2 linked regions of the Canis lupus familiaris genome follow. Each later gene encodes a partner of the first gene's protein in a complex. Links are inferred from orthologs where the notes say so. Each region holds a gene or a part of one and is shown on either strand. Other genes may lie near its edges.

Evidence for each region. The genes of interacting proteins can lie anywhere in the genome.
Region 2: the proteins of CCT5 (region 1) and DCAF12 are in contact, whole or in part, in a cryo-EM structure (PDB 8AJM), measured with the Homo sapiens proteins. The link is inferred for Canis lupus familiaris from reciprocal best matches to the Homo sapiens genes CCT5 and DCAF12. Residues at the interface, in NP_036205.1 of Homo sapiens: Gly537, Glu538, Ser539, Glu540, Glu541; in NP_056212.1 of Homo sapiens: Lys91, Phe93, Lys108, His144, Trp186, Phe188, Arg203, Lys254, Arg256, Glu298, Val300, Arg344, Phe411, Tyr422, Leu440, Pro441, Ser442, Gly443.

The regions. Positions count from the first base shown.
Region 1 is NC_049255.1:4,210,476-4,214,706, forward strand, and holds the start of CCT5 (T-complex protein 1 subunit epsilon), read right to left. Parts: upstream 2,860-4,231; 5' UTR 2,856-2,859; coding exon of another isoform or gene 2,840-2,855; 5' UTR 2,715-2,839; exon of another isoform or gene 2,667-2,714; intron 2,622-2,666; 5' UTR 2,375-2,621; coding exon 2,270-2,374; intron 4-2,269; coding exon 1-3. Other genes in the region: ATPSCKMT (ATP synthase subunit C lysine N-methyltransferase), read left to right, coding at 2,840-2,855. UniProt on the Homo sapiens protein: Component of the chaperonin-containing T-complex (TRiC), a molecular chaperone complex that assists the folding of actin, tubulin and other proteins upon ATP hydrolysis.
Region 2 is NC_049232.1:51,087,484-51,091,103, forward strand, and holds part of DCAF12 (DDB1- and CUL4-associated factor 12), read right to left. Parts: intron 2,240-3,620; coding exon 2,046-2,239; intron 807-2,045; coding exon 741-806; intron 1-740. UniProt on the Homo sapiens protein: Substrate-recognition component of a DCX (DDB1-CUL4-X-box) E3 ubiquitin-protein ligase complex of the DesCEND (destruction via C-end degrons) pathway, which recognizes a C-degron located at the extreme C terminus of target proteins, leading to their ubiquitination and degradation.

The DNA of each region.
Region 1 (4,231 bases):
AGACTAAAAAATGAAACAAACAAAAAAACAAATGTTCAACTTACATGCAATTTTAATAATTAAAAGCATCTGATTGTTATAAAATTTAATCATATACTTTGCCTTCTCTAGAAGCTTCTACATCTAAGAGGCAACACACTAAAGAAGTGCGGTAACCTTCACAACTACATCTTTACTAGACCATTCTTACGTAAAAGAACCAGAACCTGGTACTTTAACTCAGCACTTCTAAGAGGCAGGTTCTCTAACCCGCCCCCATTTTACAGCTGAGAGCACAGGCAGTCCAAGCGGACAGGCCTTGCGAGACCACTCTGCAATGCTAACTTTATGTGATGAGTCTGATGTGCGTATATAGCAACCTGAACTATCCGGCTAAAGTGCACTGCAGAGACGTACCCCTCTCTGACCCGGCCCAGCCAATACAGGACCTGTATGTGAAAGTCATCCTTGCTTGTCATGTGCGAAGGGTATCAGTACAGTAACAGACTCTTGCAAGCATCCTCTCCTGTTTGCACATAGAATCAGGCTCATCCCTCCACATGTTTCCTTTGCTCCTAGTCTTGCTGTCGCCAACCTGACCTGGACCCACGGCGCCCTACAGAGGTCCAGGGTCTCTGATCTCACTTCCTACTGTTTAGATTCACTTGACATCCAGCTACCTCATCCATCTTCCTCAAACGTGTTACCTGCCAGTCGGCAAAGCTTCAGGGACTCCCTAGTGCCTCAACACTGAAGTCTGAAGGCTTAGGCGTCTTCTTCAATGCCCTCCACAATCTGAGAGCTAGTTCCTTCCCACTGCTGATGGGCCATGCTTGTTCCCCAAGTATGGTCTCCCATCCCTGTAGTAAGGGCCACAGGAGGCTCTCCACTCATCAAAACCCTGACCAACTGTCAAAGCAGTTCAAACACACAGGTTCTGTGAAGCCCTCCTCAGCACTCCATCTGGCAGGTAAGGAAAGACACAAACTTCCCGGATCCGTGAAAATGGTGGTAACCATTAAATCACACATTGATGGATCTGTCTGCATAATGGACTTTTAAAAGGATAATCACCACAGATCAGCAGTTCTTAACCATGGACGATTTTGTCCCTCAGGAGGTAGCCGGCAACGTGGACAGCTGTCTTTGGTTCTAACAAATGGGGCCGGGGCTGCTCTTGGCACGGATGGAGTGGGTAGAGGCCCGGATGCCGCGCACCGACCCGCACAATGACTGGGCCCCCAAATAGTAACAATGCCAATGCTGAGAACTCTGGCTCTAGACCACTGCTCCCGAGTCCGCCAGAGGCGGGCTGGAATCACGGCCCCAGTCTCCATGAACTATGAACCCTGAAGCAGATTCTTAACCTCAGGGCCAGGTTTCCAACTCCGTAAGAGAATACCCATCTCAGCACGAGGGTGACAGAGGAGCAGAGCACACGGTGGCAGGGAAGGGCACAGCTGGCGCAGAGGCCGCCGTACACACCACGATGCCACGCGGTCCTCCCGCTGACTGCCCTAGAGAAGCGCACCGGCCCCGCGGACAAAGGAGCTTCAGAGACGCGGGGCGGCGGGTCCTAAGGCCAACAGCGAGGGGGCTGCACGGGGTCTTCGCTCGTTTAAGACACCAGCCGAGAGAGGGCCCGTCCTCACACCTCCCCCTGCCTCTTCTGTTCAGATGCCCTCCTCACCGGGACTGCGCCCCCCAGACCCGCCTGCTCGCACAGCTGTGCCCTACACGTCCTCCCGGGGCCAACACGCCGACCGCCGCGTTCCACAACTTCCAGCTGCGGGCAGCGGCGGGCCTTGAAGCAGGCTGCGCGCTCCCTCCCCGACGACGCGCCTGCCTCTGCCGCCCCCGCCCCCGCCCCCGCAGGCTGCCCGCGGCACACTCGAGGCAGGGACCCCCCCCGCACCGCTGGCCCCACCCGACGGGGCTGCAGCCGCACGCCGCCTGCCGGACCCCGCGTCACGGTCCTGCGTGGCCGCCTTCCCTCTGGCGGGGTCGGCCGACGAGCAGGGGCTGCAGAAGCGCTCGGGGGCGGGCGCGCCGCCCAAACACCCAAGTGCGCCCCCAACGCAGGAGGGCGCGCGCGGCTCCTCCCGGCCCCCACGCGGGGGCTGCGGGCTCGTACGCCGGCCTCGCCCGAGCTCGGAGAGCGGAGCGCAGGGCCCCGGGGCGCAGCGGGGCCCGACCCTCCCGGGAGCACATGGCGGAGCCGCTCCCAGCCGCGCGCAGGCGCAGACCCCGGCCGCCTCCCTCGAGCCTCCGCCCGCGGCCGGCCCGTTACCTTGAGGGCCTCGAGCCCCATAAGACGAGACTTGCGATCCTGATCCTTGATGATGAGAAAAGGACGCCCATATTCATCGAAGGCGAGGGTCCCGACCGACGCCATGGTGCCGCCGCGGCGCTTACTTTCCCCAACCGGCGGAGACCGCTCCGGAACCGAGCACACGCCTTCCGCTCGCGGGAGGGCGCAACAGTGCGCGCAGGCGCAGTCCGCGCCGCCTGAGACTTATTTTTCACTCGAGACTAGTTTGACGCTGGACAGTACCTTCTGGAATCAGAGGCCTTAGGAAACTTCTATCATTCGGGAAGCTGTGGGGGGGGGGACTTCGAAGACACGGGCGGGAACCTCAAACCTACAAGTCGAGAGTACATGGAACTCATTGGCCAGAGCTGTTCAGTTGACGGCTTCTAGGTAGTGCGTCCCAACGAGGAACTCGTCTACTTACTGCGTTACTTTCTCCCTCCGTCCCACCCCGGCTCCGAGCAGGTGGTAGAACCCACTTCCGGATTTCCGCCCTTCCCTCCTCCCGCGCACTCCCCCCTCGGGACGCAAGACGCAGGAAATCTCGCGATGGCGAGAGGAGGCGGTGAGGCGGCGGGCGCGGCGGGCGGCTGGGGCGGCTGGGGCGGCTGGGGCGGCTGGGGCGGCGGGCGCCCCGTCGGGTGGCGCTCGGCGGTGCAGGTCGGGCCTCCCGGGAGGGAGCGGGAGCCGCGGTCCGCTCCCCTGAAAGTCGGAGCCTGCAGCGGCTCACACCGGGGGGACCGGCGCGGCCTGGCCGGGGCTCCGCGGGCGGGACTCCGCCGCCGGTGCGTCGTTCCGTGCCCGCAGAAGTGGCGGGAGTATCCCCCCTGCGGAGCCCCCGGTGCAGGGAGGCCGGTGCCGGCCCCGAGCAGGTTCGGCTGAGGCGTCCGTTAAAGCTGGCCCGGCTTCCCGCGGACAGCCCGGCCCCTCGGGCGACGTGGTGGCGCCGGGAGGCGCGCGGATGCCGACTCCGGAGGACCCTGTCCTCCAAACCCCTTTCGCCTCCTCTCTTTTTTTTTCTTTTCTTTTCTTTAATACCTGTAGGCTTTTGTTGGAGTTCGATTTGCCGGCACGGACTGTAACGCCCAGTGCGCGTCCCGACACTGCCCCCTCGTGCCCGTCACCCGGTCGTTCGCCGCGTTTCTTTCCAGGACGCTGATGGTGACCTGATAGTTGACAGGCTTGGCTTCGGCCATAAAAAGGGATGCAGTACAGTTGGCCCTTGAACAACCTGGGGGCTGCGGGTGCCGGCGCGGGCAGACCTGTGCGGCGGAAAATGCATGTATGGCTTGGCTCCCCCACAACTTTACCAAGACCTGCTGTTGCTGGGAAGCCAGTTGGCATATTTTGTGTGTTATCCGTGTTACATACTGTATGCTTACGATAGCCCGAAAATACCTTAACATCATTAGGGAAAATATGTTTATGGTGCTGTATCAAAATAATCACGTTCCAGTGGACCTGTGCAGCTCAAACCGGTGTTGCTCAAGGGGCTCCTGTGCTGCCCCGTGGATCTTGAAAGCATGATGCCAAGTGAGAGAAGCCGGTCACAGGAGCGCATAGTGTAGGACTCCGCCGCCCGCCCCGAAAGTCAGAAGGGGAGCTCTGCAGAGCCGGAAGGTAGAGGAGCGCGAAGGGGAGGGGAGACACCTAGAGGTTAAGGGCTTTCTTCTCCGGTAAAGACCTCGTTCTAAAATCGACTGTGAATGGATAAAGAAGCTGTGGTCTATGTATACAATGGAATATTACTCAGCCATTAGAAACGACAAATACCCACCATTTGCTTCGACGTGGATGAACTGGAGGGTATTATGCTGAGTGAAGTAAGTCAGGCGGAGAAGGACAAACAGTGTATGTTGTCATTCATTTGGGGAATATAAATAATAGTGAAAGGGAATACAAGGGAAGGGAGAAGAAATGTGTGAGAAATATCAGAAAGGG
Region 2 (3,620 bases), on another chromosome or scaffold:
TCCTGCCCTTACAACATGCCAAATGGTCAATAATCCATAAGCAAATACTATTAATTTATCTATCTAATCTATCTAATTAATTAATTAATTGATTTGACAGAGAGCAAGAATAAGCAGAGGGAGTGGCAAACAGAGGGAGAGGAGAAGCAGGCTCCCCAAGAGTAGGGAGCCCAATGAGGGACTCAATCCCAGGACTCTGAGATCATGACTTGAGCCAAAGGCAAACGCTTAACCGACTGAGCCACCCAGGCATCTCCATAAGCAGGTACTTAAAAGCCTTGACTAGAGGACTGCTAGTTAAAGGAGTCTCTCAGTAAGTCTTTTGCAATGTGAAAAAATGTCCCCCTCTGATCTCTTGAAAAGTCTTGAGAGGCAAGTCAGACTCAGGGTTCCATGCACTGTGCAGTAACATGCCCAGTAGAAACCAGTGGTTTATTATTTATTTTTATTTATTTTAAAGACTTTATTTATTTACTTATTATTATTTATTCATGAGAGACACAGAGAGGCAGAGACATAGGCAGAGGGAGAAACAGGTTCCCTGAGGGAAGCCTGATACAGGACCTGATCCTAGGACCCTGGATCATGACCTGAGCCGACCACAGATGCTCAACCACTGAGCCCCCCAGGTGCCCTGAAACTGGTGTTTTAGACAAGAACAAAAAGGCTCAGGAAGAATGAAAGTATTTTAACCAAAAGGTGAATTTTTAGGTAAAATCACTGAGTCATGTTCATCACACCTTAGACAGTGTATTTTCAGCCTTCCAGAGATGGAAATAACCATCCAGAGATACTGCTCCCAGTTCCTACAAGAGCAATGAAAAACAGGTTATATTTCAATAGCTAGCAACTAATATATGGTAATAAGCAGGGGAAGACCCTGAAGGTTGGGGTCCTCCCATTCTTCATTCTTAACCCATGATGATTCCAGGAGGGGAGCCAGGGATTGTCAGCCCATCATCTTACTCTAAAATGTAGCTGGACAGCTAATTATTATTAAACCATTATTATTCTTTAAAATTATTTATTTATTTATTTATTTATTTATTTTATTTATTTATTTATTCGTGAGAGAGGGAGGAGGAGGAAGAGAGAGAGAGAGAGAGAGAGGCAGAGACACAGGCAGAGGGAGAAGCAGATTCCCTGCAGGGAACCTGACATGGGACTCGATCTTGGGACCCCACGATCTCGGGACCCCAGGATCATATCCCAGGCCAAAGGCAGGCGCTAAACCGCTGAGCCACCCAGGGATCCCCTTATTAAACCATATTAAATCAAGGTTGCTTCTTGGGAGAACTCAAGCAGGAAGCCAGGTTCTAGCAGTAATGTAAACACCCATGGTTCAAAAAACTCTTACTATGCTATCATTCCCATGACATCCCATTGGATAGTTACAGTAGAGCACACATATGAAGGACAGTTTCATAAATCGCAGTTTGAGAGTTCTATGAGTGGAGGATCTAAATCTATCTCTAAGGAATAATTGTGGCCATGAGATAGGAGACTAAGGCAACTACCCTATAAATCGTGGCCTGATTCAGATTTTGGGACCTTTTCTCTTCTTTGGGGTCTGAGTCTCCATCCCAATATTCTACTTAATACCCCTAGTTTCAGATATGACCCAATGATTAGGTTAAGATCTGCTGGCAGTGTTGAGAAGAGGCAGTGAAGAATAAAAAGAAACAATACCAAAGCGAAAAAGCAATCATTTTTGGAGGGATTTATGAAAATCACACCCAAAATAGAGCACCAGCAAAGGCATGTGCAAATGAGAGATAGTAAAAAACAGGTGGCTCTGAGGTAACTCTGAGAGGCTGACCCACAAATACAGACCCTCCAGAGAAATACTGCACAACTCAACGCAAGGGCTGGGTTTCACAATCTCAGTTATAATTTCTCACCAGCAACCCTCAGCCTTCAATCTTCCATGGGCTCAGAACTAAACTATGTAGCAAGAACTGACTTGGGAAGAGAAGCAAAGTGCCAAGATATAAGCCAAGAAGTTGAAGCAAGAGAAACAGCCTTCCTCTTTGGCGACCTCATACCTTGTTCTTGTTGTTGAAGGCCAAAGCCCGGACCTTGCAGTTGTCAGGGTTTGTGTCCTCCTTGGGAATGTCCTTTAAGGCCTTGTGAGTGATGTGAGCATACACAGGGACCCGTGATACATTGTGCCTTGCATCACTTTTGGTCAACACATCGTCTGTCACCTCCCAGAGTCCCATAGAGCCATCCCGTGAGCCTACAGGGCAAGGAGAGACCACAGATGTCAGACATACCCAACTCTCCATGGGACAGTCCTACAGAAACCAAGATGTACTTTTTTAGTCTAGCTCTTTGTGCACTATCCTCATATGTGCTGAACTTGGTCAGGTGCCCCACTACAAAAAGAACAATATATATTAATAGCTACGTCAAGAGGATGATTCAACTAAAATGTGGGAGTTAAATGTAACATTTAATCTTTGGTGAGATTTTTTTAATTTAAATTTTAAGATTTTATTTATTCATGAGAGACAGAGAGAGAGAGAGAGAGAGAGAGAGAGAGAGAGAGGCAGAGACACAGGCAGAGGGAGAAGCAGGCTCCATGCAGGGAGCACGATGTGGCACTCAATCAAGGAACTCTGGGATCACACCCTAAGCCAAAGGCAGACACTCAACTGCTGAGCCACCCAGGAGTCTCAGTGATATTTTTTTTAAAAGAGAGCATTATATAGTTTGAGAATGCTCAGTAATTTTCCAAGTCAAATGCTTAGATCACTTGGGCATGCATGCACAGGTGATGTTTGCTGGGCAGTAGCATTGGGGAACCTCTACCTTAAATCAGTGGTGCTTAATCTTTTTTGACTCTTACATGCCTCTAAGAGACCTAGGAATGTTAAAGACTCCTTTATCTAGAAAAATACACAAAACACCACATTGTACAATTTCAGGGAGGTTCATGAACCTCTTGAAGGCTTTCCATGGACCCACAGGGACCATAATTCCCATGTTTGGGGCACCTGGCTGGCTCAGTTGGTACAGCATGCCACTCTTGATCTCAGGGTCATGAGTTCAAGCCCCATGTTGGGCTCCAGGCTGGGCACGGAGCCTACTTAAAAATAAACATAACAATTTTTTTAAAATTGAAAAAATCCTTTCTAGTAAAGTTATTTGACAACTCTCCTTTAGACTAAAACTTTCCTTTTTTAAATTTTTTAAAAAAAATTTTATTTATTTATGATAGTCACAGAGAGAGAGAGAGAGAGAGAGAGAGAGAGAGAGAGAGGCAGAGACACAGGCAGAGGGAGAAGCAGGCTCCGTGCACCGGGAGCCCAACGTGGGATTCGATCCTGGGTCTCCAGGATCGTGCCCTGGGCCAAAGGCAGGAGCCAAACTGCTGCGCCACCCAGGGATCCCTCTCCTTTAGACTAAAAGGTACCCTTTCCACATTGCAAATCTCCTGAATGCTTCATAATAAAAATTATCTAACTTGAGAGAAATATCATCTAATTTGTTGGCTTCATAAGGCTTATGGGCAGAGATTCAAAGCAGAGGTTTTATTACATGTGAAATCTAGAAAAGGCCAGAGAGAAGGACACATCTGGAGATAGAACTATGCATGGTTTATTATGCAAATTAAA